5 linked regions of the Oryzias latipes genome follow. The protein of the gene in region 3 purifies or fractionates together with the protein of the main gene of each other region. This does not show direct contact. Links are inferred from orthologs where the notes say so. Each region holds a gene or a part of one and is shown on either strand. Other genes may lie near its edges. The genes, in order: sqstm1, hsp90ab1, pink1, vim and cdc37.

Region 1 (6,175 bases), on a different chromosome or scaffold from region 3:
GCTCATCAAGAGCAAGAAATCACAATCCCAGCTCCAAAATGTCACTGCCAATAATAAACCATACAGGAGCAGATAGAGAAAAACTCTGCTCAGGTCTGGTGGGGATTTTCTATCCAGAGTTAAAGAATATATTAGAACTGTATCCCAGCCGGAGACAGTAACACGGACTTTCAGTTCACACAAAGGTGAGAGGATTTCATTATTTGCACAGATTCACAGCTCGCTGAACAGACTTTTTCACAGAAGTTCAACAATCAAGCAGAAATGAGGATTTGCAGCAACAGATAAGAGTGAATTGAAAGAGCAGAGACAGGGGAAGCTGGGGGCAGATGTAAAAGAGGAGCAGAGAGGAGGTGCAGAGATGGAGACCAAAAAGAGGAGCTCAGAAAAGACGGTTAATGTCTTCCTGCTGTCTATTGTCAACAAATGCTGCGATTGGTGCTTTTGTATCTGCGTGTTCCTCTGATTGGATGGTGGGTCTTCCTGTGTGATTAGCTGTGGAAATCTCCTTTATTGAGATGAAATGTCACAATATATCTTAGTTAATCACAACAGACCGTTCTGTCTGGTGTAGCTGCAGCACTGTCAGTGTTACCTCCTTGTGTGTCATCATCAACAACAGGCATCAGACTGAGGATGAGAACTGATACAAGCAGAGATTTGGTGGACTGGTTACAGCTTTGGAGAAAAGCTCTGAAGTGTCTGCATTGAATGTCAACAGTGATCTAGACAGAACAAAGACGAGATCACACCCACCCTAACAAAGAAACAGGAAGTCAGACTCTTCTTAAGATAAGAAACAGGTGAAAGTCAGACTCTTTGATCGTCACACTCTTCATCTGTGAAACTGTGGGAGCTTCAGATAAACGGAAGGTTTTGGGTTCCAGGTCACTAAGGTTCCAGGCTGCAGTCCTGCAGAGGTGAGCCTCTCTCAGGTCTTCAGGGTTGATGTGGTTTCTCAGGGAACCACCTTCCATGACTTCACGGTTTTTTCCTCAGTGGTCATTGAACTGGTTTTACTGACTTCATGTGACTGTGAGTCATTGTCAGCTGATTGGCTCAGGACGGTGGGTGACATCACCACAAAGGCGTGCATGAAGGCAGAGTACACAAACACACAACAGTACACACAACTGAACAAAGCATGCAAATTCCCCATGTTGGTGAATTAATCATTAAGATTTGAAGAGAAGACCTAAAGGTGGACAGAATATCAGGAGATTTCCTCATAAACATTGACTATGAATTTATCATTACTGGTAGTTTACAGATGTAATCCATTTACTACACTTCTGAAAATTGTTTTTCTTTTTTTCCCTCTGAATAGGAAAAATAACTGAAGAATTTTAGACATCAACTCCCTCTCAGTGATCCAGGACAAATAATGGTAGACATGAAAAATGCTTACAGTTAACTAATCATGAGTATTTACTAGAATACAATATATTAGTCTTCATGCAGCTATTTTAACCTTCCATTAGGTCTCTTTGGCTTTAAACAAAAAACCCTGATGATTTCAATAAACAATGGCGTTGTAGTTTTGGTTTATTTATTTAAGTAAAGTTGTATCTTAGGTTTAGATTGTTCACTTGTCTTCGATGTTATAAGGCCTGATTATTTATTATTATTTTCTTGTGACAAACTTTTTTCCTTTTGACTTGGAAGTAATCTCTAAAACAATAATAATTTTAAAGAATAAATATTACATTATAACATTAACAAGAATAACATAAAAATGTAGGCTCCTCCTTGAACAGCTGAGAAAAAATGAATTACAAATTTCAAAAACATATAACGTTTTTTTTCTCCAAAAGAAAAAATCTAATGAAGTTTAACTGTTTTAAGGAAAAAAATTCCAATGTTAAATGAATTATTTATTTAAAATAACTGACATTTTATGGTTAGTTACTAATTTCTCTTTAATGAACTTCCATAGTTTTAAATTGAAAAGATTAAATTTTTTCCCTTGTTTAGTCTGAAACACTAAAAGTACTGAAGCAGTCTAGAACTTTCCTACTAATTCTAGAAGGATCCATTCCGATGGGCCACAGGTTTGATAAACACAGGAGGACGTCTCTAGGCGATTCATCGTTTCCGTGTTTTCATGGCCGCAGTCTGCCTTCTCACGGTGACTCCGCGATGTGTGTGAACTGTCTGCTGGGATCCTGATCACGTGACACACAAGACGGCCTCTGATTGGACCTCTGGAACCGGCGTTCCTTTTACACGGACCAATCCGCGGCTGCGCAACTGTTAACAGAATCACGTCACCTGCGGAAGTAAACATAAAAGAGGCTGAAATTTATCGCTGCGTCACAAACTGGGATTTTTCTTGGACTGTTCAAGTGACGGTTTTGCGTCTGTGTCTCGGTCCTGCTCCCGGTGTCAGAACTTTGTGGTTCGGAGTCCACAGCAGCAGCAGCATGTCTGTGACGGTGAAGGCTTACCTTCTGGGGAAGGACGAGCATGTGAAGGAGATCCGCCGCTTCGCGGTGGACCAGGACGTGTCCTGCAACTTCGAATATCTCAGCAAGAAAACCGCGGCGGTCTTCTCCAACCTGATGAACTCCTCCTTCAACCTCTTCTACAAAGGTGAGCCGCATGGGCCGGGTCAGACAGAGCCGGGATCCGCTGGGTCTGATCGGAACCGTCATACTCACTAACCTGGAACCGAACTTTTTGTCAATACTTTATTAAACAGCCGCAGTAACGCGGAAGACCAACTTAGAGAAACATTCGAGTATATAGAAGGACTGTAGACATTTGAATCTGTACAAACATAATCCGCCCACTGACTTATTTAAGAAACAGCTAATTTAAAGGGATTGCTGTCACGTGACGCATGTAGCCACGCCCACAAATTTCTGTCCTTTGATTTGTGCGCAATTGAAAATATTCAGTTGATCAGGAGGCCCGAAGTTTAGACCCCCCCCCCCCCCCCACACCCACACACAAACACAGGCGGAGTAGGTGGGACCTTATGACGTAGAGGGGAGGAGCTTCAGGTGTGATTCCGGTTTATATTTCAGATGAGGATGGAGATTTGGTGGCCTTTTCTTCTGATGATGAGCTGATGATGGGCCTGGGCTGCGTGAAGGACTCCACCTTCCGCCTCTACATCAAAGGTAAATGCACGGCCTCCTGTGTGAGATCAGAGTGACCTCCCAGCAGTCCTCCCTCACGGTTTTTTTTTTTTTTTTCTTCCTGAACTCTGACAGAGAAGAAGGAGCACCGCCGTGATTTCCCACTGCATGCCCTACCCCCTTTCATGTTTGGACACCCACCACCCCATGGCCCCCCTCATGCTCCACATCACGGCCCTCCCCCCGCCCTGCACCCTAACGTCACCTGTGACGGCTGTGAAGGGCCGGTTGTGGGAATGCGGTTCAAGTGCTCCGTTTGTCCCGACTACGACCTTTGCTCCACCTGCCAGGCTCAAGGGAAGCACACTGAGCACGCTTTGCTGCCCATCTGGCACCCCCTGCAGGTGAGTTACTCCATCTAACCATCTAATCGTCTTTCCACTTCTGTCTGGACATCGTGCTGATTTAAAAGAAAGGACTTTTTGGTCAAAGCCAAAATGCACTGACTGAACCAGAAACTGTGTCTGCAGTGGTTTCCCCGTGGAAAGTGGATGAAGAGAATGAGACACTGCATGTGGAACCAGAACCAGAATCAAAACCAAAACCCAGAGCAGCAGGAACAGCAGGACCAGCCAAGGCCATCAGCATCTTCGGGTGACGGTGGAGAACCATCAGGTGAGAGAAACTCAAAAAACGTTTGAGCCTAGGGCATTAACATGCTCCCACCTTAACCTCTGACCTCTGCAGCTTCCCAGGCTAGTGTGGACTTCCTGAAGAACATTGGGGAGGGGGTTGCCGCCATGTTGAGCCCCCTGGGTGAGTGTACATAGTGGAGTTGCTGTTTTTGGGGGACAGGCAGGAAGTGATGTCATGATTTCCATGCAGGAATCGACGTGGACATTGATGTTGAGCATGACGGGCAGAGGTCGAAGGTGAATCCACCCACTCAGGCTGGAGGGGGGGATGACAATGTGGCAATGGATGTAAACGAAGGGGAGTCTGCAACTGCTGAGAGGTCAAAGGTCAGTCTGTGTTCACTGATCAATGACTGAAATGAACGTGTCAACAACTGACCCTCGTCCCCACGTACACGCAGGCAAGCCGGGACTCTGACGAGGAGTGGACTCACCTGAGCTCCAAAGAGGTGGACCCGTCCACGGGGGAGCTGCAATCCTTAGACCCCAAGAACCACGAGTGCGAGCTGCCGTCGGGAGGGCAGCAGGGGCCCCCGTCGGGAGGGCAGCAGCCGTCGGTAGGGCAGCAGGGGCCCCCGTCGGGAGGGAAGCAGGGGCCCCCGTCGGGAGGGCAGCAGGGGCCAACAGGTCTGCGGGAGGCTGCGCTGTACCCCCACCTGCCTCAAGGTGAGTCTAGTTCTCACAAGTATCATTTGCTATGACTGTTGCCCTCTTGTAAGCTCCTCCCTCTGCCCCCCACAGAGGCGGACCCCCACTTGGTGGAGTCTCTGGCTCAGATGCTGTCGATGGGCTTCACTGATGAGGGGGGCTGGCTCACCAGACTCCTCCAGGCCAAAAACTTTGACATTGGAGCGGCTCTGGACGCCATCCAGTACGCCAAGCAGCCCCGCCCACCACAGTGACCGCACCAGCTGCTTTATTTAACCTGAGTTTCTATCTGTTCAACTGTTAATCAACTCCTTAACCTGTTTCTGTCTTTTATTAATCTGTTTCTGAACAATAAAAACATGAAGGAATCCGAGTGGGTGGAGTCTTGATACACACCTGTACTGCCAAGTGCACAGCAGGCTGCTTTTGAGAACCAAAACAGTCCAAATGAAACACTAAATGTAATTTTATATCACCTGTTTCCACGGCAACACCTCCACCAGCAGCACACTTGAACCAGACTACACATAGGAGCTGCTAGAAGTCAATACTGAAGTCTTCCTCAGTTTCGAACAGGGAGGAAACACTGAGTCCTGGGTGGGGCATGTTGGGGGCTTGACTCCGCCCACAAGCTGGAGGCTCCTCCTCTTGGATTTCGGAATCAGATTTGAGAGAGCAGGCTGAGCTAAAGGCGCGGGGATGGAAGTGAGCTTCATCAGCAGAACGTCTCATTGCTGGACCAATCAGCTGCAGATAAAGAACACAGTAGTGAAAGTTGGATGACAGAAACACCAGAACCTGAAGAGAGAACTGTTTCACTCAAAGTGACCACGTGCTAAACAGCAGCCTGATCTCTCATATTGAAAGAAAAATTCTCATTCAACAACAATCCATGAACTTTCCTTGAACTAAAAAAGGTATTTGACACAAACCCCAATATTTTCCTTGAACTCAAATATAGCATTGGAGGGAAAGCTCTTCAACGGCCAACAACTCATGTAAACGACAGTATCTACAAATAAGATCAAATCACAATTTTGGAATAGAACTTGTGGAGTAGCTCAATGGTCTGTTCTAGGACCAGTTCTTCAGTCTGTATATACATAACATTGCTAACACATCCAAAAGGTTCAAACGTATCTTCTTCTTGATACTTGGCAACAGAGACACAAACCCAAATATAATTTATTTGAATGGATGGAATTAAAACTGACCGAGTGAAGAATGTGAAATTTCTGGGAGTCATCATTGAGGGCATTACTTGGCGTTTCATAAAGTTAAGTCAGCTCTTGATAACAAAGCACCGTTTTTACGGTTTAACTCAGTTTCTTCCATTTCTAAACTACTGCATTGAAATTTAGGGAAACAGGCTAATTTGTATTCTACAAAAAAGGCAATAACGTTTATTATCACTGGCAGTAATTACACACATCTATATAATCCATTATTCAGTGAATAAAAAATATTACAATATAAAAGGTTTTTCAAATGTATATATAAAGAAGAATTGTCTGCCATATATGAACAAAGATTTAAAAAAGACAAAAGTAAATATAGTTTAAAAAGGTCGTCAGATTTTCTCTTTGCCAACATTCAGAACAAAGACAAAGGAAAGATGTGTTTCAGTTCAAGCATAAAAGAATTTAAAACAATCAGTTGAAGAAAACAAAGCACAAACTACCTTCAAAAAAACCTGTAAAAAAAGAATTGCTTCAAAAGTAACATTGTTCCTAATGCCAGACACACAAA
Region 2 (6,191 bases), on a different chromosome or scaffold from region 3:
TACTTGATTTTTTAGTTACAGAATTTATAATAGATGGATTTCTGGGAAAGTGAGGCTTAAAAGTGTGAAGTTTGGGGAAGTTTAGTCGACCTCTTCCATGCGTGACGAATCGTCGTCAGCATCTCCTTCCAGGGGTGGCATCTCTTCTGGGGCAGATGTGGAGGCGGGCTCCTCTGTGGGGATGTCGTCATCGTCGATACCTGGAGACAAGACCTCCAATTATTGACATGAACCTTTTAAAACAAAGATATTTATAGTCTGGAGTGTTTTCGTACCCAAACCAAGTTTGATCATTCTGTAGATGCGGTTGGAGTGGGTCTGAGGGTCGTCCAGGGAGAAGCCAGAGGACAGCAGAGCAGTTTCGAACAGCAGGATGACGAGGTCCTTCACAGCTTTGTCGTTTTTGTCGGTCTCAGCCTTCTGCCGGAGGGTCTCCATGATGGGATGGTCGGGGTTGATCTCTAAATGCTTCTTGGCCATCATGTAACCCATGGTGGAGTTATCCCTGAGAGCCTGGGCCTTCATGATCCTCTCCATGTTTGCCGTCCAGCCGTAAGTGCTCGTCACAATGCAGCAGGGGGACGATACCAGTCTGTTGGAGACAGTCACCTGTAGAAGGCATGAAGGTAAGCATCGGTTTGAGAAAACCGACCACTGGAATGCAATACACGCATGCGGTTCAGGCCGTTTGTGTGATGCTGATTTCATCGAGTGTTAGACACAGCCTCAAAAGACAAACATTGTTAGAACTCACGTCGCTGTCAGACTTATCAGGCTCTTGCAAAACCAAACCCTTTCAACTCAAATATCAGGCAACGCTAGAAACTCTACAGGCCACTTCTACTCTGTATGAACTCACCAATATAAGTAGTTACCACTAGGAAACCTGTTTCCAAACAAAACACCACTGAAGTTAAGGAAATGATGGTGAAGAAATGAGGAGCAAAAGCACAGTTTCTTATTTGAGACCAACCTTCTCTACTTTCTTGTCCAGAATCTCTTTCATGAGCTTGCAGAGGTTCTCAAACTTGGCCTTGTCATCCTCCATCTTCTTCTTTTCCTCCTCATCCTCTGGCAGCTCCAAGCCCTCTTTGGTGACAGAAACCAGGTTCTTGCCATCAAACTCCTTCAGCTGCTGAACACAGTACTCGTCGATGGGCTCGGTCATGTACAGGACCTCGAAGCCACGCTTGCGGACGCGCTCCACGAAAGCAGAGTTGGCAACCTGGTCCTTGCTTTCACCTTCAGAGGCAAAAAACAAAAACTTAAGTCGTGCCAAAAGAATCAACAAAAGAACATATGGACTGGAAGCCAAACCTACCAGTGATGTAGTAAATGGATTTCTGGTTCTCCTTCATGCGAGAAAGGTACTCTGTGAGGGAAGTCATTTCATCTCCAGACTGGGAGCTGTGGTAGCGCAGCAGCTCAGACAGCTTCTTACGGTTCTGAGAATCCTCATGGATGCCGAGCTGTGAACATAAAAGTTGTGATCGATTTACTCAACTAAATTCTGGGTAATGCAGCAAGCGTTGCCCAATTCCAAGGCTTCACGCTAAATATGTGTCGATTTATTTTCACACCTTAAAAGTTTACAGGAAAAAAAAAATCCATCAGTTTATAGGCATCATTTAGAAAAGCTTCAGATATGTTTGAGATACCTTGATGTTCTTTGAGAAACCTTCATAGAATTTCTTGTAGTTTTCTTTGTCTTCTGCCAGCTCTCCGAACAGCTCCAGGCACTTCTTGACAATGTTTTTGCGGATTACTTTCAAGATCTTGCTCTGCTGCAGCATTTCTCTTGAAATGTTGAGGGGCAGGTCTTCAGAGTCCACCACTCCACGGATGAAGTCTGTTGTAAACAAACAAAAACGTTTTAAAGCTGCTGTGCATTTCCTTTCAGATCCGGTGGAACAGAGATTTAAAACTTACTCAGGTACTCTGGGATGAGCTCTTCACAGTTGTCCATGATGAAGACTCTCCTGACGTACAGCTTGATGTTGTTCTTCTTCTTCTTGTTCTCAAAGAGGTCAAAAGGTGCACGACGAGGAACAAAGAGCAGAGCCCTGAATTCCAGCTGACCTTCCACTGAAAAGTGCTAAAAGAGAAACACACGTCAGCACGAGGTTCCATCAGCCGATCAGAAGACACCCAAACCTCTATTTTACCTTCACAGCGAGGTGATCCTCCCAGTCGTTTGTGAGGCTCTTGTAGAACTCGCCGTACTCCTCACTCGTGATGTCATCAGGGTTTCTGGTCCAGATGGGCTTGGTCTTATTCAGCTCTTCCTGGTCAATGTACTTCTCCTTGATCTTCTTCTTCTTCTTGCCCTTGTCTTTAGCGTCTTCTTCATCATCTGAGCCCACATCCTCAATCTTTGGCTTGTCCTCACCTTCCTCCTTGGTCTCCTTCTCTTCTTTTTCCTCCTCTGCCTCATCATCACTGATCTCCTTGTCACGTTCTTTCTCCACCTATAGATAAACCACGTACAACTCCACATAAGCTTCTATTAGTGAGAAATATGTTTGTAAAAAAACAAACAAATCACTTACAAAGAGGGTGATGGGGTAGCCGATGAACTGAGAATGCTTCTTCACGATCTCTTTGACCCTCTTCTCCTCAATGTACTCCGTTTGGTCTTCTTTAAGGTGCAGGATGATCTTTGTTCCACGGCCAATGGGCTCGCCTGAGAACAGTGTTGTAGAGGTTAACAAATGTTTCACAGTCAGATTTTAGTTTGTTGCACCATAATTATAATATTTGAAGATCCATACCACTGTCGACCTTGACGGTAAAGGATCCCCCAGCAGAGGACTCCCAGGCGTACTGTTCATCGTCGTTGTGCTTGGTGATAACCACCACCCTCTCAGCGACGAGGTAGGCAGAGTAAAATCCCACACCGAACTGACCAATCATGGAGATGTCGGCTCCAGCCTGAAGAAAACGGCAAAGTTCCACAATTTGTATTCACTTCTGCTAAAAAAATATATAAATGTGTATATGTATTTTTCCCCTTTATGCCTGTTTATATTAATACCTGAAGGGCTTCCATGAAAGCCTTTGTCCCAGACTTTGCAATGGTACCCAGGTTGTTGATAAGGTCAGCCTTGGTCATGCCAATTCCAGTGTCAACAATGGTCAAGGTGCGGTCAGCCTTGTTGGGGATGATGTCGATTTTCAGATCCTTGCCGCTGTCCAGCTTGGAGGGATCAGTTAAGCTTTCATAGCGGATTTTGTCCAGAGCCTAAAAATAATTCAGCGTCAAGATATTTCACTGTATTGACACAGAGGTGATACGATGTTACGTAAACTGCTGCAGACTTACATCAGAGGCATTGGAGATCAGCTCCCTGAGGAAGATCTCTTTGTTGGAATAAAAGGTGTTGATGATCAGGGACATCAGCTGAGCAATCTCTGCCTGGAAGGCAAAGGTCTCAGCCTCCTCCTCTTGGTGCATTTCTTCAGGCATCTGCATAAGAAATAACAGGTTTGCAACAAACAGCGTCAGACTAATAATGGGATGAACCAACAGGAAACGCCAAAATAAAAGCACAACATCTTACAAATACGCAAAATACGGTAATAAACTGCCAATTATTTTACTAAGATTGTAGTTTTTAGTTTAATTTTTTTTAATGAATAATTTTAAACCATAAACTACCACAATTCAGAAACCGGTTCAGAGTCGGATCCCTGCCATCAGATTACAACATACGGGCGGAAGTGCAGCGAAACATGGCGGCGAGGCATGGACAATGGACGCTGCAAGCACGTGCCGACTAAAACCGAAAAAACCCGAAGCTTCCGTGAATATCAAGATCGAACGATTTTGGATTATCGCTCAGGAGCTTTACTGCAAAAAAATAGCCCCCAAAACTACCATCACCCCGAAAAACCACGAGCACTCCTGTGTCGGTTATGCAAGATGTACATGATGTACACACTCTGGGTGTAAGATTCTAAACTAGTAGTCCATCTAGAATCCTTCGTTGGCAAAATATACACAAAGACACGTCAATCGCTCGTTAAACTATGGTAATGTTATTCTTTAAACAGTCAGGTACAACCAACCTTCACAATAATAAATCTCCATACCTTCTGTCTGCCTACAAGATGCGGCAAAAGCCCACCACTTATTTTCGGTCACTAGTACAAGATTTAACCTAAAGCCCATTACTAATTAAGAATAGTAAACCCGCTATGTCAGAAATGCTTTTAATCGATGAATCAAGGTTAAACAAACCACGTGAATCGAAATCAAATAACAAAAAAACCCGTTAAATGACTCAACATTCGGTGTAGAATAATAATAAACCATTTAAAGTTTGGTTTCCCTCAATATGAAGTGAATTACCAAGACATACCTTGTTTCTTATGTTGGCTTTTCTTGAATAAAATGCAACAAAAGTGCTATCCCTGCCGCTCACTGACGCAGGAAAAAGAAAGGAGGATTCTGGAGCTGCACGCCGAATCTATATGCTCATGAGTTTCAGTGCAGGACAAGATCCCTCCGCGGCGCTCCTTCTCGAACTAACTGTGCTCCTCCAGAAAAATATGTAATTATTTATATCAACAGATAAAAAGTTATAGTGGAATAGCATGCACAATATTTTGATTGGCCAAGGAGGTAAAATCTAAACGTTATAAATTTATTATATTAAAAACAAAACTAAGAATAAAATCAATCGTATTTGATTTTTGCTGCCATCTAGCGGTTATTTAAGATACAGCAAAAACTACATCTACGAGCTTCCGTTTAGTAATTGTCTAAATTCTAAAAATGTGTCAAAATTTTGTTGAAAAAAAAAAGTATTTGTATAGAATCTCTATATCTGGATGTCAAAAATTAAAAGCACGCTGTATTTTTTACGGAATCAACGAACACTCTAGGTCTTTGTAATCACATGGAAGAATACCGAAGGGGAGTGCTTCGTTTCTTCTAGCACTTTCCATGAAAAACCCGCCTAAACATGACGTCACCGAGTTGTCACATGCTGACTTCGCATTCTATTGGTTGCCACAGAAATTACAACTGCCGCTCTGTACCTCATTTTGATCAATGACACCTTTATTTCTTTTTTTACTGTAAATAAATCAATATGACTGGTCAAAACTTTTTAAAAGGCTTGTTTTTTTACATTTATGAAAAATAAATATGCCAAATATTTTTTTAATAAAAACTTTTTTTAGTTATTGATTTATTTTACATATTTTAACATTGAAATCAAAATGACGGCACTTCCAATTGAACGTGGTTAAACAAAATGTAAATAAAACTATGTCAAATATCTAATTTTGTCATTGTTAATAGGCTTACGTTAAATAACACAAACATTTATGCAGAACAAATTGAAATTTCATTAGCATGTAGTAAAATTATAAAATGTAGAAAAATAGAAATTTTGGAATGATTAGTATCATTTTCCTATAAAAAAAGCTAATTTAAAATATTAACTACATGATCATTTACCATGCAAATAAATCAGATTCAGAGAGCCTTTGTAGTAAAAGACACATTTTTCACAACATAAACACTGGTGTACTGAGCAGAACTTTAGCCCCGTCCACGGGCAATGTCCCGACGCACAAAAGAAGTGCGGTTGTCCTTTGGTAAATAGTGCGCATGCGTGAGTGTTGATAACGCTCTCAGCTAGCTCGTGGGCTAGTTTAGTGCCATTAGAGACGTAAACGATTTTTCCCTTCAAAGATATTACCAATTTTACTGTTGGTTTTTACTAATTTTCACACGACCTAATTAAGGGTAAGAACATTGTAATGTATTAAATTTAGTCTATACTAATTATTTCAAAAAACAAAGTTAGCTTTGTTTGTTAGGTCACGTCAGCTATTGCAAACGTTAGCCTAACTGACTCTGTTTAGTGTCACCGGCTAGTGTAGCGTGTTCAATGTTAGCTTTAGCACGCCAAGCTGCTTGTTTTTGGTAACCGCGTTTTTATCTAAATTATTGACATATGAAAGTTTAAACATTATTTCACCAATATAGATGGTTTAGATAAACTTTATGCACTTAAGTTTAAATGAATCTATGCTCCAGTCCCTACCTTACCATCAATTTAATCATGTCTTCTCATCTACTAGCAAATAAGCTAATTTTGACATAAGTTTTAAGCCCTAAATGCTAGCAATTTGTTGGATTGATTTAGTTTTCAGTCTTACATAGACTGCTAATGGAG
Region 3 (5,950 bases):
TAAACCTTTCTAGTGCTATTACATCTAAAAGACAATCCAGAATAAAGCATCTGATGACAACAAAGATGAGCTGTTTGTTTTATTTTTCAAAGTGTTTCCATTTTCTTCAAGCATTTTATTTTATTCCTCATCATAAAAAATAATAAAAAATTAAAGAAGATCTCTGCCTCTGAAATATGTTTTAGGAAATACAGAAGACCCAGCATGGTTGGTGACTACCTGAACCTATAATAATTCATAACCAAAATTACTCACCATAAAACACATTTTAGACTGCTCCTTTAGGAAATATTTAAAGATGCCAGACATTTCTGACCTGTAAGTGTTATAAAAAATCAAATATCTGCTTCCAAAACCTTTGTTAGATAGGTTGCATAAATAATTAAACGTTAATGAGATTGCTTTATGTGATGAATATCTTTTTTTTTGGTCCAGGAAATTTCTTTCCGTCATCTATATTCTTAAACTGCTGAATCCCTTTTGGGGTTGCTGGAACGTTCCGACTCATGTTGAACAAAGGCGTGGTGCATCCTGGACCAGTCGCTAGTCAGCAAGGCTCAAGAACATTCTTTTTTCTCTGTAATCTTTGAGGGCAAGATTTTTTACCCATAATATACACTGAAAATGCACAGAGGCTTGTTTGGCCATGAGATACTGAAAAACAAAACCCAAGCATCAAAAAATCTCCTTAAAAGAAAAAAGGAAAAACAAACCAAAGCCAAATTGCAGAAGCATAATATCGATTAATAATTTAATTTAAATATATGAATGAATTAAGGAACAGTGATGTTAGTATTGTTCATATTTATAACAAGGATCATGGTCATAAATGTAAGAATTGATGTTATTGTAGGGATTTTGAATAAGCACAGACGTAACAATTTCATGGTGAAAATAACAATAGAAGGAGTAATAGGACTGATTTTGATTTTTAATAACCTATGTGTGCATTTCCATTAACACAAAAATTAATATGACCTTGATATGGTACCTGCAACTGTACCTGTAAAAGTTTTTTCACTCATAATTCAAAGTGACATGCAATTCTCAATAGGCAATTCAATTTTCCATTTGATCACACATTTTGCAATTGGCATTTCAATGCATTTTGTGATTTAGAATTCAAAATGAACAATAATTAAAATTAACTGTCACGGTTTTTTGATACTACAATTCAAATAAAATGCATTTTGCAACTTTTAATTAATTATGCTTTTTTATTATTTTATCATTATGAATTCTAAATCGCAAAATGCATTTTAAACTGGGACTAAACAGGGATATGGTCAATTCAGAATTGAATATTACTTTGAGTTATAGGTGAAACAAAACTTCCATATCTTAGAGACTTAGGGACATAGTCTGGAAACCCCCAGAGAAAACAAAGTTCTAACATTGAGGGAAAGAATAATTACAAATAAAAAAAATGTGTTAATCAAGCTAATGTTGTTAGCTGATTTAGATGTATTTATGCATTTGTCATCATATACTGTGTTAAAAATAACTTTTATTTCTGTCACATCATTCCTTTAACCTTCCAGTGCAAATTCTGACCAAAGCTCAGCAGGAACCTCCAAGTCCTACCCTGCGTCTATGGTCCTGCTTCAATAATACAGTTTTTATGTCACAAATAAACTACTTATCATTATAAAGACAAAAGAAGAAAATTAAAATTAATATCCAAAGAAAATAATTAACTTTCCTTAAAATGCACTGGTATTTTCCCCGCCCCTTTAAAATCATTCTGCCAATCCTGCCTGTTTCTCAGGATGGGTCAAGGGGATGAATATGATGCATTCAAAGTATATCCGTAACTAGAAAAAAAAAACAATGATGCTGGGATCCAAACAGCTCTAACTCAGTTTGTTACAACAATTACCGTTAATTAAAAATATAGACGATAATTTTAACTGCACAACACAAAATAAATGCGCTAAGGTGCTGAGGCCTGAAATATACAGTATTGTGGTTCCCACTCGTTGAAGGGGGCCATGAATGTATTTTATCTAAACCAATGACCATAGGTCCTTTGCGCATGCTCAGTAGCATTTGTTTTGTTTAACTTTGCTCCTCGCGGCAGCTGTTTGAGGCTGACCTGCATTCCCGGGGCTTTAAAACGTTTCTAAAAACCCTTCTGGGCTCACAATGTCTGTTAAACACGCTATTAGCCGAGGGCTGGAGTTGGGCCGGTCGATTTTTCAGCTGGGGGTCCTGAAAGCAGGTAGTCGGGTCGCAGCGAAGCTCCGAGCTGACCGAGTTCGTGCGGGCCCGGCCTTCCGGACCGCTCAGCCTCAGGCTTTCCTGCCTCTCCGATACCGGTATTACCGCACCTCACTGAGGGGTCTGGCAGCTCAGCTCCAGTGGGCTGGCTTCGTTAGGAGGTTTGCCGGAGGTTCACCGCGGAACAGAGCCGTCTTTCTGGCGTTTGGCCTCGGTGTGGGATTAATCGAGAAGCAGATTGAGGACGACAGGCTGAGTTTGGCAACGTGCAATGAGATAAAGGTATGAATTCCTGCTGTCATTTCAGTCTGAGCCTCAGTAGATCTGACATTTTATATTTGCGTTTTTTATAGCGACTGTTTTATGTTAAAACTTACTTAAAAAAATCATCGATTTTACTGTAATTTTATAGAAAAAACAAAATTTAGAACATAGCTGTGTAAATCTGTTGTTCAAATAAAATAAATTGACAAGTTTAATTCTTTCATTTATTGGGTCCAATGAGGTTAGTATTTATTATAGTAAAATATGTATTAATTAATCATTTTTTATCTATTTTAAAAGCGTTTCCAGTGGTCTTTTCATTAGGATTATTCCATTTAAAAAACGTTTGTTTTCTTGGACGTAGTGTCTGCAGTAGTTTATTAGAAATTCACCCCTGAGTTGTGGGCGGGACTGTTGCCACGGAGCAACCCCGCCCCCTTTCCTCTCCCAATTGCAGAGAGCTCTCTGTTTACATGCTCTCCCGCTAGCTTACAGCCCCCACACCCTCATCCCTAGCAGAAATGGTGAGCAATATTGGAGCTATCCAGAGGTAAACGAACACGGATCTTTGTCTGCAAGTTGTTGCTTTGGAATGGAGCAGAGCAGGCAGCTTGTGACCTGCCCAGCATGTTTTTTACATCACAAATACGATATTTTTTCAAACGGCATTGTTTCGTCTGCTCCTGATACATGTCAATGTGAAATGAACCGACAGTACAAGCTCATCCCTGGAAGTGACAAACTAAGTTATGCTGCAACTGACAACAACACAAACTTAAACTTTAGAATAGAATATAACTTTATCAATCACTTGTTACAACCTCTTTTGACAACGGCAAATAAATAACAAAAAAAAAATAAAACACTAGAAAAATGAATAACAATAACTATTGACCAGTGTCAGGTGTTAGAGTCTAATATCTGACAGGAGGAACGATCTGCAAAAGCTCTCATTCCTGTAGCTAAGTGTTCAAGTCTCTGACTGAAGGAGCTCCTCAGTGCACCGATTGCAGTAAATCCTGATGATGAAGAGGAATGTCCAGAATGGAGCTGGATCTTCACACTGTTCCTGTCAGTGCCATCATGAAATCTCTACAAGAGTCCTGCAATTTCTGAAGGACCTCAGTCTCCTTAGCCTCTCCTGCCCTCTGGTCGCTTCTCTAGCAGCATTTTGTTGTTGCCAAGCAACAACAACTGATTGTGTAAATCAGCGGTGTCAGAATCCAGGCCGTGAGGGTCCAACATGTTTTTCAAGCAACCTGCCATTGAAGCTCCTTATTGGCTAAACACACCTGATCCACAAGTCATCAGCAGCAGCAGCAGATAAGGCAGGATTTTTGGGAAACCAGCAGGAGGCCGGCCCTCGAGGCCTGGAGTCTGACACCCCACCCCCCCACCCCCCCCTCTGCTGTAAATGATGCACCTGCAGCCCGCTTGAGACCCAGAAGGGGTGGAAATTAGCCCAAAAAGGGGTGACATGCATGCCATCACACTGATTATGTGAAAAAATATCCATGTCCATCAAAAAGAGGTCAATAATATGAAAGTAACAAAACAAAAACAAGGAAGTTAGCCTGAAGGAAAGTAGAGTAAATGTAAACCCATTAGCAGTAGTTTTAGCAAAAATAACTGGTTTGATGCTATTAGGTTTGTATGAATTCATGAGACAATTTTAATCAATGATACCACGCTGGTAGTTTGTCAAGCTTCTTAAATCTCAGAGCATCGGCTTCTACAAGGCTGTTTTAGTGTTAAAAGTTAAGTGTATAATTGTAGATTTCAAAAGGACACTTCATTTACATACCAAAGTAAAGACTTTGAACTCTGCTTTAATGAAACCTGAATCTAATTTCTCCTGAACTGCAGGCGGTGTTCAGAAAGAAGAAGTTCCAGAGCCCGCTCAAGCCCTTGGCCTATGGATACAAACTGGAGGATTACATTGTAGGAAACCAGATTGGGAAAGGATCCAACGCAGCTGTGTATGAAGCTGCACCTCAGTTTTTCTGCTCCAAGAAAAGCGATGGTGAGCCCGCCGCGGTGCAGATACGAGACAGTGAGGGCGAGGAAGGAAATCGCGTCATGCCATCTCTGAGTTGCTGCTCTCTAAGGAACTTCCCGCTGGCAATCAAGATGCTGTGGAACTTTGGGGTGGGTCATGGCCAGCACCCATGTATGTGGGGAGGGGAAGAAAGGTCGCTTTCTGACCGGTGTTGTGATTCTATGTGTTTGCAGGCAGGGTCATCAAACGAGGCGATCTTTAGATCGATGTCCCATGAGCTGGTTCCCACAGACCCCCTCGCTCTGGCGCCAGCAAAACAGCAACTTACTTTAGACGGGTAAATATGTTAACGAAGTCAAAGGGCTGCAACGAATCATTACTGAACCTGATCACTAGCCACAGTTGGGTGTGTTTTATTCGGGAGGAGGATGATCGGTTAGCATGACACTTGAATAACACACTTGAGGTACCGTAACTCTTCCACCATTTACGTGACCAACTTGTATCAGCTGATTCTGACGTGGAGATAAGCGGCTTTTCTTAGCGGCTTTGCATAGATATGTAACGTATTATGAACGTAAAGGGTTGCATCACAGCAATTTAAAAAGATGACAAAATCCATCAGAGTGTATAGTGGCAGATATGAGGCCATACTGCCTTGTGGAGAACAAGGGATTTGAATATATACCGTAAAAGAACAAGCAAAATCCCATCGCAACACAAAAATCATTCTAGAATTTTAAGAGCATGTAGAAGAATTATCTAGTCCAGAGGTTCTCAAAGTGCGACCCGGGGGCCAATGGTGGCCCGCGGGAAGATTTTTTTGTGGCCCTCGATAAAAGAGAGCCAGAGTAGGTTCCTTTGAGGAAAAACGTGTTGGCGAGGAGAAAAGGCGCTTTCAAGCTAAGTGGACAAATGCTTACTTTGTCGTACCTCATGGGCTGGATAAAGTCATGTGCCTTATTTGCAAGCAAAAAAATCATCACTATGTCACAAATCATAAAAACTATGACAACCGGCAAGGAGTGCAACTATAATCTCCAACAACTACAACGAGGCTATGCTGTACAGCAGATGTTTACAAAAATGGCTACATCCAGTGAAGCTGTGACAGAAGCTAGCTACATTGTGGCTTTGGAAATTGGAAATTTGGTCCAGCAAAGCAAGCCCTTCATTGACTGGGAGTTTGTAAAAACAATGTATGCTGGAAGTAGCTGACATTGTATGTCCAGATCAAAAGAAAGTCTGTCAAATGAAACTATTAACAGACGAGTAGAAGATCTGGGCAGCAACCTCCGACCGCAACTGGGAAAACATCTGGAGGGCCTGGTTAATGGCATTTGGTCATTAAAGTTATTAAAAACAACTTTTTTTTTTTTCACCAAAATTGGCCCCCAGTGTAATGTCGAGTTCATAATTTGGCCCTCTGCTACAAAAACGTTGAGAACCCCTGATCTAATGGATTAT
Region 4 (6,093 bases), on a different chromosome or scaffold from region 3:
AGGAGGCTTTTACTATAGTAGACAAAAACATGATGAAGTCTGAACTTGCAGTTTTTTTATTTATTCATATTTCTGTATTTACTCCATGTTATACTTTCAAATTTCACCCTGAGTTCTTACCTTCGATTTGTACCATTCCTCTGACTCTTGGATGTTCTTGGTGGCCAGGTTCTCATACTGCAGGCGAACGTCCCTCAGAGCTGCAGTCAGGTCGGGCTTTGCCACGTCCATGTCAACCTGGACGTGCTGTTGCTGCTGCTGCACCTGACTCTGAAACTCCAGCATTTCCTGCAGCAGACATGTTCACGTCAGTCTCCAAAAAACACTAATCAAACTCCTATTCCTGCACTTTTCCAGGCATCTTCAGACCACCTGGAAATTTGATAACACCAACAACATCTATGCGGCTTCTTTTTGTGCATCCCTATGAGATTTTCAAGTGCAAGCGCAGTGTTTCTGCAGCAACCCGACGCCGCCTGGCCTCACACCGAAGCTTACCTCATCATGCAGCTTCTTCAGGAAGTTGATTTCCTCCTGAAGCGACTCAATCTTCCGCTCCAGGTCCAGTCGAGCCAGGGCAGCACTGTCCACGTCCTGCGCCATGACACTCACTCTTAATAAGGTGACTTGTGAAGGTGACATGAATTATGCATTCTGCTGACATATTCTGATGCACATGCTGTGAAGAGGACTCACAGCACCTATAAACAGTGTGTGTGTGTGGGTTGTGTTGTCACCCAAGGTCATAACATGAATCCAAAAACAGAAAAAGCAGCCGTGGGCAGGCCACACATGTCCTTGCAGGTGCTGCTAACATCATGTATTTATTGACACCTTCTGTTGGTTGTTTTTAAGATATGACACAAAAATACAAATTATTTATTCCTTCTCAACTGCTTTACCCTGGAAAATGCGAGAAAAATTGTTTTCTGGGCTTTTTCAGGTAGTTTGACACAGGTAACAAAATGATATTAAAGTCTTGCACGATGTTGGGTGTTGGATGGCCCCCAGCGACCGCCCTAGTGGCCCCCTTTCTAACTGCCCTCGCGGGCTGAAGGCCGTGTCACACAGCCACTATACGTGGTCATACGTGATAGTTGCGCCGTGTGCACAATAAAAATATTATGCATCTGGAGATTGTGCGTGAAAAGTCTGTCAGACAAACGTGGAACGGTTGTAGAAGGTCACAAATTTGCAAATGCATCTTGCAGAAATCACACACAATTGCGTGAGTCTTACGCGTATACTGTACTTTAAATATGCGTAAACTGCGTAATTTTATACCGACCAAAAATTTTGAGCAGCTCAAAACCTAAAATCATGTAAAGGCCCGTTGGCTGAAACCCTCGACGGACATCTGCGCACATCCACGAATGACGAACGCAAGAAACACTAATGAATGACGTAAATCACGCATGGATCAAAACAGACAGACATGTCATACGAGGGAAAATGTGCGATATGTAGGTAGTGGCTGTGTGACACGGCCTGCTTCCTCGCAACCAAAATTACCTTTGTACAAAGACACTAATTAAGCTAAAACTGCTAATATTTTGTTCAACATAATCAGCCGTTCAAAATCTGAAACTTACAACCGACATTTTTTTCCCAAGTAGGTTGCCAGTGTTGTTCGAAGAGCTTTGAGGTGATAGACTAAAACCACTATTAGCACTTTATTAAAGATCTTTTAATGGAAGAGTCCAGATGGCAGCCTAAAAAAAAACAGTGGCCAAATTTGACTCCTTGGGTTCTCCAGGGTTACTACGGCTGAAAATAGGTGTCTCATTATTTGTCCACATTCTGACCAGATGTGCACCTAATTTATGACAGGAAACCAGCAGATTTGTGTGAATGAATAGAAAGGAACCTGAGGTGGCCTTTGTGTGCCTGCATAGCTTTATTTTAGGAGGGACAAGGGAGCAATTCACTGGGACTTTTCTAAAATACCTTTTGTTCAGAGCATCCCAAACCACCAAGCATTCCTGTAGAGCTTCCTAATCTCTTTTTTTTATTATTAGCTGACTCCACTCTCAAACTAAAACTCTCCACGGTTCATTAGACTAGAAAATTAATTCCATTATTAAAAGTTTCCCTTTTTTTTTCTTTTAATCAGTTTCTTTTTCTCTTAACTCACATGCACTTGCAGTGGCACCGTGCAGCTTTGCAGCTTTGTCGGGGCGCTGGCAGGCTTGTAATTGACGTATCAGCAAATGAAGCAGCAGCACCCCCCTCCCACACTAATGCCACAAACAAAGTGGGCTATTCAGCAGGGTTTTCCCAGCAAGCCCCAGGCTGGGAGAGTGACTGTCTGCCTGACTGAGCAGGAGCTGCGGCCGCCGCATTGTTGTCTCAGTGCCATCCATCCTGTCGCTCACACAAATTCCACATCAAGCCATTTATTTTCTTAAACAGTCGTCAGAAAATGTTCACTTATCTTGAAACATGAGGCCTTTTTTTTTTGCATTTACATGATTCACCATGACACCCTGTGACGGCGGGACAGTCCCACTGCCACACCAAAACAAGTGAGAGTCTGATGATCCGGGAACGGGACAGCTCTGGTCACATGTCTGATCCCTCTGAGATCCACACTGTAGTCCTGCCCTTTCTCTGTGACTAGTCAGACTCAAACAATCTGCTTTCACTGCAGGCCTGACTGAGCACAACACGCCAAAACTTGGCCTCTGCAGCCAGGGCCAGGTCAGCCTGTACTCTACCGTTCCACTGGCTCAGCAGTAATCTGCTGGGGAGCACATCCGTCCCACGGCATATAAAAACCTGCTGTTAAATAGATGGAAATTAAGGTAACAGATTTAACGTTTTAAAAGGTTTGGAAGTGGAAGAACACTGCAGAACTGGAGAAATTAAGATCAGCATCCCGGTTCTCACTAAGAGTTCTGCAGCAAAAACCTTTGAAAATAAGACATTTGTGTTTTGTTGGGGTGGAAAGGATTGAGTTGGATCCAGCAGTACCTGTCTAAAGCTTTGCATGGTTGCCTCAGCCTCCTCCCTCTGGGAAATTTCATCACGCAGCCTGCAAAAGTCAGAGAAAAGACACTTTTTCAAGACTTATTGGAATTGGGAACTTTCTCTTAAACTTTTTTCATGTGTTTCCGTTTCTATTTCTGCAAACTTTATTTCTATAATATCAGTGATGTGGGGATATTTTACACGACCAGCCACACAGGCCTACAGAAAAGCGGAACCACGAGGGCCACGCCCCCTCCCCTACTTCTCTCTCAGCCTCTCGATGTCGTCCGCCAGGTTGTCCCGGTGCACCTCCACGCGCGCCTTCTCGTTGGTGAGCTGGTCCACCTGGCGCCGCAGCTCCCGCATCTCGTCCTCGTAGAGATCTCCGATGCGGGAGGTGCCTTTGCCCCGCAGCTGCTCCAGCTCCGCCAGCAGGATCTTGTTCTGCTGCTCCAAGAAGCGCACCTTCTCGATGTAGCTGGCGAAGCGGTCGTTGAGGGACTGCATCTGGGCCTTCTCGTTGGTCCGGTTCGTGAGGAACTCGCTGTTGACGGCGTCGTGCAGGGAGAAGTCCAGGCTCTCGGAGGCCAGCCGGGGCATGGCGGCGCTGCTCCGGAGCCTCTGCGTCTTCACTGCGTAAACTGGGGCAGAGGAGAGACCAAAGGAGACCCGGCTGGACCGAACCGGGCTGGAGAACTGGCGGCTGGAGTAGCTGCTTCTGGCCGAAGCTTGTTCACCCCCAAACATCTTCTTGTAGGAAGAATGGGGGGCAGATCTGTAGGACATCTTCAGCTCCGGGGGTGATGCTGCGCGCGTTTGGTGCGTCCTGAGCTGCGTCCGCGGACTGCGCCTGGATGGGCGGTTCCTGCATCTTCACCCGCTTATAGTCTCCTCCTTATGCAAATGCGGCGGTGGGTTTTGAGTGACGCGTGGTGGGTCCAGTAAAGGATCTCCTCCTCTTCGGGCTCCATTTATAAACTCTGAATGGAGCTCGTTATCCAAGGAAGAGAAGAATTTGTGATCATCAGATTCTTTCACACTCAATTTTCTTTGATTCCTGAAGAAAAGCATAATCCACAAACCAAGTGACTATTTGGAATCAGATCTTCATCCATTTCATGCTTTAACTTAGTTAAATATTTGCTTTTTTTTAATTTGTTTTTTTCCTCCTTGGAGCCTTTGGTCATTTCAAATGTGTCATGAGACTCCCCCCTCCCACCCCACCCCAACCATACTAAAAGGGTTGATCAGTGCATGAGGTGGTCTTGTGCAAATGTGTCACACGTTTTGGAAATATTTTCCAATGCGAGGACAATAAATACTCCATGTTTGCAGTGTTTCACTGTCAGTGATCTGGAGAGAAACTGGGAGACCGACTGCTCCAGGATTTGAAAATGCAGCTTTCCAGACAGACTGCCGCTTCAACCAGTTTCAAACATGACAAAAATTAGTCATGATGCTCTAATCCTTTTTTTCCTTCCTCTTGTGCTCTCTTTTCTCACTAGATTTGCTGCTTTCTCGCTGCTGAATTGCACAGATTCTGCAGGAAAACATGCAGCAAAGCTGAGTCAGTGACACTTTAAACCTCCAAAGCGAGCCTCCTTTGGTGTTGCTGGGACCTTCGGGCGTTGGTTTATCATCAAACTTTAATTTATTGACAGGCAGGTAATGGTGTGAAAGCTGCAGTGTTACTGAGTTGTGTTCAGGGATACACTGAAAACATGAGTAACCTAAAAATTGGAAAAGAACACTAAAGATCACTAGAAAGCAGTAAATGTATCTGTTCATGCAGCAAGTCATTTTAGTTTATGAGAAATCTTTTCATAAAATATCAACGTAAAGAAACAAGGAGTTCCACATTAAAAAAGGGAGAAATAAGCTCAAAAAGTTAACAGAATTACTTCAAACTGAAGGTTAAACAACCCAATAAAAAGGTTTTTTTACAAAGTTCTAAGCAAATTGTTGTATTTATTGAGTTTTAATGAACCTAATTGTACTTTTTCTTTTTTATTACAGTGACAAAACTCTAGTGTAATTAGTGGAAATGACTCATTTTAGACGTTAGTCCATTTGAATAAATCCTCATCAAATCTCAAACTAGCATTTATTCTTTGAACATAAATCTAAATTTCTGTTTCCAAAATAACGAGTGTCAGTCGAACATAGATTGAACTTTTGAGATTTTTTGAGTCTTAAATCAAGTTTTTCTTTTGTCAAGAATACGCAGCAAAAGGATTTGGATTCATTTTGGAGAATCATGTCCTAGCTCCTAATGGGACGAAACATTCTGGACTGTGCTGATTTTGAGAAAAGCTTGTAGCCTTTTCTGGCTTCGATAGCCAGAGCTTAGCTGATTTAAACAGATCCAAAGCACTTTGACCCTGCAGGACCCTCGACCCGACTGGGAAAACACTGGAGTCTGGCTCTAAACAAGCTGGTGAAATCCAAAGGAAAGCTCTCAGTGAGAGCGAGGGGCGTGCAGCGTGGAAATTCCTGTTCCTGAGCCCATTATGAGTCAGCTCTGTCAGAGTGGACAGACGCAGCGGCCCCAGGATTGTCCCACACAGAGCGGGGATTGTGTATTGCTGATCTATCAACTACAAGGACAGTATGCAGACAGCCGACGGTAACTTGTTGTTTGCAGCTGGTGACTCAGTGTGAGGCGAGAGCAGGGATCTCATTTTTGGCTAAATCTGGATTTTTGAAAATTATTTTAATTTTTCCGTTCTGGTTGTAATCTGGTGGAGCTTTTATGAAGCTTAACTGTTTGAGAACAAAGAGTTACAAGAATCTAAAAAGCAAAAGACAACATCAGTCAGACTCAGCGTGAAGTGCGACTGAGAGCAAAACAGTTTGTTTCTGGGTGTCTTCACTTGAAAACTGCCGACTGCAGAAAAAGAATCCTTTGTTTCTTCTCCCATGATGCTGAATCACCAACCCGTGCAGCCTGTAGCCATAGCAATCACTGCAAATGTTATGTTTATGACATAAAAACGATGAAGATGGCCTTGTAAAAAAACAAAAAACCCTGAATGTTTGCTGTTATTTGATCTATTGAAAAAGTGTTTGATCAAGTTATTTTGTAAATTCTTTTGTTTTATCCCACTGGGAATTAGATGCCTC
Region 5 (6,087 bases), on a different chromosome or scaffold from region 3:
AAATGACTCATTTTTGCATCATCATCCTGTCAAATAAGAAAGTGCTTTTATTTTGTAGCGTTACTTTTAAAATGTGAGCAATGTCTGTCAATATTTAATGTCAAATATGAAAAAGAATATTCTTCTTGACAATAATCATGATTGAACTGCATTTTTGAGGAAGATATGGTTTTTCTTTTTGAAAAAACACACAATTCCCCTTTTCCACTGGCTCTAGTACAGATAATTCGATTTTCAACATCTCATGTGATACCAGAAAATAATAAAAAGAAGCTAAAGACACCTACAAAGGAAAAAATATGTTCTTTTGGTTGTCTATTTATAATCTAATACCATAACTATGCATTGTTATAAAGTGAAAGGCTCCTGGGACAGAAGCTATATTCTTGCAGCATGGGACCAGAAAAAACAGTCATCATTCATTTTTAACATATTTAGATTATTCATTCTTTCAGGCACACATTTTCAAATATTCATAGTTCTATCCTTACATTAAAAAACTACAATGGTTCAGTTTTCAAGTTTTTTTTTTTATTTTTCTATGAGAAAAATTGCAGTATTGAAAGCAGTTTTCCCTCAGTTCTTCACTTAAAAATGTAAGCCATGACATGCAAATGTCAAAGTACTCCTGCCTTGGAAGAATAAGCACAGTAAGTTTACATCATCTCACAAAGGCGACTAGTTGGTCTTTTCCATCTTTAGATTACCACTGAGTAAGAAGCCAAAGCTAAATCTTTGGGTTCATTTAGGATAAACAGAACCGAACATGATCAACTGTCGTTGGCCTGGAGTTGACAGCAGTAACCCTTACTATTTTTCTTAGAAACCTCATTTACCAGCTGTTCTATAAAGCTCATCAATCAAGCAGTTTGAATGATTATTTGAGCACAAGTCAATGTTTTTGTTGTCCTGAATAATGTAAAAGACCCGGAGGAAAGAAAAAAAAAAAATCAAAACATTGGAACTTAACGGTGAATGTTGTACAAATGTCACATAAAATATCTGTTGCAAAAAAATGTGACAATGTTAGACTTAAGCTTGCAACTATGCACCAATACCAACAAAGCATAACAAATGAAGGAAAAACATTCAGCTCAGGCGATGCAGAAACACAGTTTGTTTTTGTTGTTTCAAATATGTGACTTATTACACATTTATAATTCAAATTTGTACTCAAAAAGTTTAAAGAAATGATGGTGTTTATTGGCAAGCTGTTTTACATTAAATGAGACTGGGGTACAGTAAGTGAATACAATTGCAAACAACAAATCCATTGTGATCACTCCTTTGTTTCTTCCGGCTCCCGTTTCACCTCTTCATAGGTCCCTTCTTCCTCCTTTCCTTCCCCAGAGTTGGGGACCCACAGACCTGAGTCAATGCAACGCTTCATATGATGTTTTGCCTCCTAAAAGACACGACAGTCACATGTTAACAGGGATTTCTTAAAAAAAAAAAAAGCACCTAAATCCAAAAAGATTCAACCAGACAAAACTGTATAGCTTACAGTTGGATCCATTTTACTGATGACTTCTTGTAACATTTGGATGTCCTTCTCATCAAAGCATTTCTGCATTTCCTGTGGTTGAAGGCAAACTATGTGAGCATTTCAAACTCAATAGAGACAAAAAATGAAACCCTGCTTGTTAGAATGCACTTACAGCAGGCAGCGACTCATACACTTCAACTGGATCCAGGCCTCCAGGCCCCAACCGCTTCTGCCGCTCCTCTTCCTCGTATTCTTTCAGGGCCTTTTCTATGCGAATCTTTGCTCTTCCTCTCACCCGTTCTTTAAACGCCTCAAGCTCGTCGTTAAAAGCATCTTGGTATTGCTGATCTGCGGTCTGTAAGAAAACAAATGAACAAATGTGAACATTCCAAACCAGAAGTATAAAATTTTACAGAAACTTCTGGTAAAAAAAAAAGGACTTTTAAAATAATCTGTTTTAGTCCAGGAATAACAGACAGACTGCCTTTGATTTTTGTACTGCTTGTTTATGAAAGCACCCTTTCTTTTCCTGCCCAAACATCTTCTTTAAAATGAATAAGTTCAGAGCAATTAAACACAATAAAATTAAATAAACTTGCTTACTTTAATCTTTGCAAAAAACTGACGGAAGCAACCGCGGGGATCCACTTTGAGGCTTTTTGCCAACTCAAGAATGAACTGCATGACAATGGTCTGATGGGCCACCTGCTCCATCAGTGCGTGTTTCTGCAAATAGGAAAGCAAAGCTTTACTAAGAAATGAAAAACCTAAACAGCTGCAAACAGGAGCACACACTTTGAGGAGAAGATATGCTAAAAAACAAAGATACAAGAATATAAAATAAAAATATAAGTATATGTGTTTACCTCCTCAACTTCCAGATCAATGCACATGATGACGAGATAGTTAGCGGTTTCTTCACATACAAGATGAGGATTGTCAGAGAGATACTTTTGGCTGTCGTCCCATCGTCGCAACATCCCTGTAAGTTAATAAAAATAGACTTAAATTGTTTTTAAAGAAGGGAAAAGACAACAGAATGACCTTATGGAAGTTACTCAGGCTTACCGAAATGTTTAATCTGCTTCTCGTGTTTTTCAACAAATGTTTTGTGTTTTTTCTCCTTTTCTTCTTCCGTATCTTCCGAAGTTTCAGGTTTTATGTTCACTATGCTCTATAAGCGAGAACAAAGATCAAGATTTGACACCATCTAGCATTGATTTGAAATAACTACTTTGTTTATAAAATGTCAACGGACTAATGTGAGCTTCATTGGATTTTCCAACCTCTTGCTAGAAAACCACAGGTTTCTATCTGCATATAGAAGTCACCTTGCTGAACCCTTCCTTGCTGAGTGTGTCCACGTTCCACGGCATCTTCTTCTCCTCCCTGTAGTACTCATCCAGCTTTTTCTCCCAGTCCCGCTCCTCTTTTTTCAGCTTCTTCTCATCGGCTTGGTATTTGGTGAGCTCTGTTTTGACACCATCGGAAAGGTTCAGGTCCTGGATCTTTGTCTGTAACTCCGTGAGTTTACGCCGACATTCGGCGAGTCCTTTTTTTAGGTCTTCGCCTTTCTTCTGGAATTCTTCCATTCGCTCCACGCGCGCCTAAGGAACAGATCACACGCGTGAACATCATGTGTAAACAATTTCAAATACTCATCAGCTCTTGTCCAGTTTGAGTTCAAATTCAGGAATCCGAAGTAAGTAGGAAAATTAGCATGGCTGAAGAATTACAAGCAGAAAGTGAAAGCTAACGATCACGCTAAGCACTTTTCCGAAAAGCTTTTATATTTACCTGGTGTCTCCATCTGAAGAGACTGGGAGTGTCAATATTTGGGTGGGTATCATCTTCATCATCCGATACCTCAATGTGATCCCACACGCTGTAATCTATCCTGGACATCCTGCAGCAAGAAGAAGCAGCGCTAGCTTCGACTAGAACTCGGTTAAGTTGGCGTCTAAATCACGCTCGCTAAAATACCGACCTAAGAAATATTCACACTCGAACCCTTCAGAAATGTGTGTTGGTGCTCTGTGTTTCTGTACTCCAAATTTGGTCGTGCGAATTGATTTGTTACTCCCAAGCAAGAGCTAACGGGAAGCTGCTACAGAGTTCTAGAAGAAATTCTCCCCAAAGCTTCCGTTTACGTCATACGTAAGGCGCGTACATTGTACGTCGTAATTTAGACACCGGAAACAATGACCAAAAACGGAAAATATTTGGTTTTCATAGTTTTAATCTGAAAGACTGTGATGCTTTCTTTTGTATAAACATGTTGTTATTTATGGCTAAATTTGATATTCATAAAAGCAAATTCTCCTATAAAAAACTGATTTATTTGTGTTAAAACTGGAACTGCAGCAATATTTAAACTTAATTTCAGCTTCAAAAAACACAAAAGCTCAAAAAACAATTAACATTTGTAAATCTTTTGGAATAATAACACAAGTTTACTCTCGCATTTTCTCTTTTTATTTTATCATTTTTTTTCTATGTTTAGTTCTATTTTCTTTATTTATTTTAATTTTTTATTCCCTTTTGTGATTGTTAGAAATAATTAGAATCTTCTTAAGCATGTAACACGTTTATTCTGTATTCAGAATTGTAATGTACATTATCTGTGCATAATTGTTGCATTTCTTTGTTCTGTATGTTGCAATTGTTCAATAAAAATTAAAGAAAAGGGAAATTATATTTAAATATAAAAAAGAAAGAAAAGCACCATGACCCGAATGATTACATTTTTCAAGGCGAATTAAGAATAAATTAGAATGCTGATCTGAACACATATTAGAAGATTATTATTTTTACATATAAGATTTAGAAAATGTACCTACGTAATATGGTAAACTAAGAGTATGATATTCATTTGCTTACTGCTATTTTTCGTTCTTGATATAAATGGCCAGATATGATTTTTATATAGTTATGTTTCAGATATAGATGTGTGCTCCAGACTGATAGATGATAATTTAGTTTGTCCGTTCCCAAGAAGGAAAAGTTCAAGTTCTAAGAAAGGAAAACAAGATCAGTTTGTGAATGTTTTCCTTTTTTCTTCATCGCCGGTGTTGCGATCATAACCTGTGACAACACGTTTGAATAAAATAGCTAGAAAATGTTCAATCTAACAGAGAAAAGAAGATGAACTAGACAATTTTATATACTTTTTATTTCCATTGAATGCAAGTCATCAGCAGGTGGTGTCAGCTATTTTTGCTCGGTTTGAAGTTTGTCAGTTTGGAGTCTTTGAAACCTGAGCAGCAGACGGAGTTTCCAGTTTGCGCTGCACAGCACCGCTGCATCTCTCGGATCACATCCTCGCATTTACTTTCCACATACTTGTTAGCTGTGAGATGAGAACAAAAAGTTCACAAATTTGTTTGAGATTTGCATTAGAAGAGCACAACAACAACGTCAATGTGTACCTTGTAAACACGTTTGAATGGCACATGCTTGCTTTTGACACGGATCTTTCTGTGGCATATCTAAAGGAAAACATGTGAGAATGAAAACAATGATATGAATAAAACATGGGCAGAATCTTAAACTTTACTTATTGGATAAAGATTGGGGGCATGGTTTTAAAGTTAGACATACCAGTAATATTTGATACGCAGATCGACCTACTACTGCTGGGAACCCAACCACTTCCGTTTTCAAGGGATTGTTTTGATCACGTGTCATGCTGTTAGCCAATTACATTTAGACATCTGCTCAACAGCGACATCGTGTGGGCAATGAAATACATGCATTTAGGCTTTTGTTGGTATTTTAACAATTTTTAAAAATCAATCTGGTCATACCAGATATTTGAACTTTATACTTTATTTTGAAAAAAACGCAGAAGTGCAAATAAAATGTCCATACTTTTTTGATGTTTTGCTTTTATTGATAAAGATAAGAAAATTAACAAACAGTTCATATGTACAATGGCAACCACTGAAATATTGTCATTGAGTCTTTTTTTATTTGCAATGATTATATTTTGTTAGTCAAGAAAACATATAGTCAAGACATAAACCAGATCAAGAAAATCACATACAGTTGGACACAAACAAACAAAAGATAATTACAATTCTAAAAAATGTATCTAACACATTAAAAAATGAAATTTCCAAAGACCTTTTTTTAATGTGGTCTTGTCTGTGAAATCTAACTTTACATAAATATCCACCGAATCATAAATGTTGCATCATTTCCGTGTTGAAAACAACAGTAAAATCTGCTAAGAGCAATGCTCTCTGCATGCCGGATGTAGTCTTCTGACCCTGAAGCAAGGTAGCTTGTCTTAGATACCTGAGCAAAAAAAAAAAACAAAAAAAAAAGTGGACATCAGAACTTTGTGTGAAAATGTGTGACTCATTTCAAAATTTCAAATAATAAATGTCTTTTTACCTTTGGTTTTTGCTTTGACAAGGAACTGCTTGCTTTTCTGATCCAGTAGATTGGAGGCTGTGCAGGTGTAGGTCCCTGGGAGAAGTGAAGAAGAAGTAACAACAGCTTCATCCATCATCTTCTCCTGCATGGGATGCAAGGATTGCCACGTGTAAACAGGTGCAGGGTTTCCTGTGGCTGTGCAGTTTAGGGTGATTTCGTTA

What was found.
Region 1: the proteins of pink1 (region 3) and sqstm1 purify together in Homo sapiens (affinity purification with mass spectrometry; 3 studies listed by BioGRID and IntAct, with this or other methods). This does not show direct contact. The link is inferred for Oryzias latipes from reciprocal best matches to the Homo sapiens genes PINK1 and SQSTM1.
Region 2: the proteins of pink1 (region 3) and hsp90ab1 purify together in Homo sapiens (affinity purification with mass spectrometry; 4 studies listed by BioGRID and IntAct, with this or other methods). This does not show direct contact. The link is inferred for Oryzias latipes from reciprocal best matches to the Homo sapiens genes PINK1 and HSP90AB1.
Region 4: the proteins of pink1 (region 3) and vim purify together in Homo sapiens (affinity purification with mass spectrometry; 3 studies listed by BioGRID and IntAct, with this or other methods). This does not show direct contact. The link is inferred for Oryzias latipes from reciprocal best matches to the Homo sapiens genes PINK1 and VIM.
Region 5: the proteins of pink1 (region 3) and cdc37 purify together in Homo sapiens (affinity purification with mass spectrometry; 6 studies listed by BioGRID and IntAct, with this or other methods). This does not show direct contact. The link is inferred for Oryzias latipes from reciprocal best matches to the Homo sapiens genes PINK1 and CDC37.

What each region holds. Positions count from the first base shown.
Region 1 is NC_019868.2:3,815,910-3,822,084, reverse strand, and holds sqstm1 (sequestosome-1), read left to right. Parts: upstream 1-2,423; coding exon 2,424-2,592; intron 2,593-3,029; coding exon 3,030-3,125; intron 3,126-3,218; coding exon 3,219-3,487; intron 3,488-3,613; coding exon 3,614-3,758; intron 3,759-3,830; coding exon 3,831-3,899; intron 3,900-3,968; coding exon 3,969-4,105; intron 4,106-4,179; coding exon 4,180-4,444; intron 4,445-4,519; coding exon 4,520-4,680; 3' UTR 4,681-4,794; downstream 4,795-6,175. Other genes in the region: mrnip (MRN complex-interacting protein), read right to left, coding at 4,964-5,173. UniProt on the Homo sapiens protein: Molecular adapter required for selective macroautophagy (aggrephagy) by acting as a bridge between polyubiquitinated proteins and autophagosomes.
Region 2 is NC_019882.2:5,880,626-5,886,816, reverse strand, and holds the start of hsp90ab1 (heat shock protein HSP 90-beta), read right to left. Parts: upstream 3,473-6,191; coding exon 3,323-3,472; intron 3,242-3,322; coding exon 3,035-3,241; intron 2,932-3,034; coding exon 2,772-2,931; intron 2,684-2,771; coding exon 2,550-2,683; intron 2,469-2,549; coding exon 2,166-2,468; intron 2,096-2,165; coding exon 1,930-2,095; intron 1,850-1,929; coding exon 1,659-1,849; intron 1,470-1,658; coding exon 1,322-1,469; intron 1,243-1,321; coding exon 974-1,242; intron 887-973; exon of another isoform or gene 860-886; intron 610-859; coding exon 276-609; intron 201-275; coding exon 82-200; 3' UTR 1-81. UniProt on the Homo sapiens protein: Molecular chaperone that promotes the maturation, structural maintenance and proper regulation of specific target proteins involved for instance in cell cycle control and signal transduction. Undergoes a functional cycle linked to its ATPase activity.
Region 3 is NC_019865.2:23,688,430-23,694,379, forward strand, and holds the start of pink1 (serine/threonine-protein kinase PINK1, mitochondrial), read left to right. Parts: upstream 1-2,033; 5' UTR 2,034-2,145; coding exon 2,146-2,502; intron 2,503-4,350; coding exon 4,351-4,632; intron 4,633-4,716; coding exon 4,717-4,820; intron 4,821-5,950. UniProt on the Homo sapiens protein: Serine/threonine-protein kinase which acts as a sensor of mitochondrial damage and protects against mitochondrial dysfunction during cellular stress.
Region 4 is NC_019875.2:29,288,701-29,294,793, forward strand, and holds the start of vim (vimentin), read right to left. Parts: upstream 3,843-6,093; 5' UTR 3,757-3,842; coding exon 3,233-3,756; intron 3,035-3,232; coding exon 2,974-3,034; intron 595-2,973; coding exon 499-594; intron 289-498; coding exon 121-288; intron 1-120. UniProt on the Homo sapiens protein: Vimentins are class-III intermediate filaments found in various non-epithelial cells, especially mesenchymal cells. Vimentin is attached to the nucleus, endoplasmic reticulum, and mitochondria, either laterally or terminally.
Region 5 is NC_019866.2:8,382,234-8,388,320, forward strand, and holds cdc37 (hsp90 co-chaperone Cdc37), read right to left. Parts: upstream 3,633-6,087; 5' UTR 3,474-3,632; intron 3,393-3,473; 5' UTR 3,392-3,392; coding exon 3,284-3,391; intron 3,094-3,283; coding exon 2,818-3,093; intron 2,661-2,817; coding exon 2,555-2,660; intron 2,469-2,554; coding exon 2,353-2,468; intron 2,213-2,352; coding exon 2,090-2,212; intron 1,842-2,089; coding exon 1,659-1,841; intron 1,577-1,658; coding exon 1,505-1,576; intron 1,406-1,504; coding exon 1,280-1,405; 3' UTR 513-1,279; downstream 1-512. Other genes in the region: cmc4 (cx9C motif-containing protein 4), read right to left, coding at 4,693-4,835, 4,915-4,972; hemicentin-1, read right to left, coding at 5,778-5,785, 5,885-6,087. UniProt on the Homo sapiens protein: Co-chaperone that binds to numerous kinases and promotes their interaction with the Hsp90 complex, resulting in stabilization and promotion of their activity. Inhibits HSP90AA1 ATPase activity.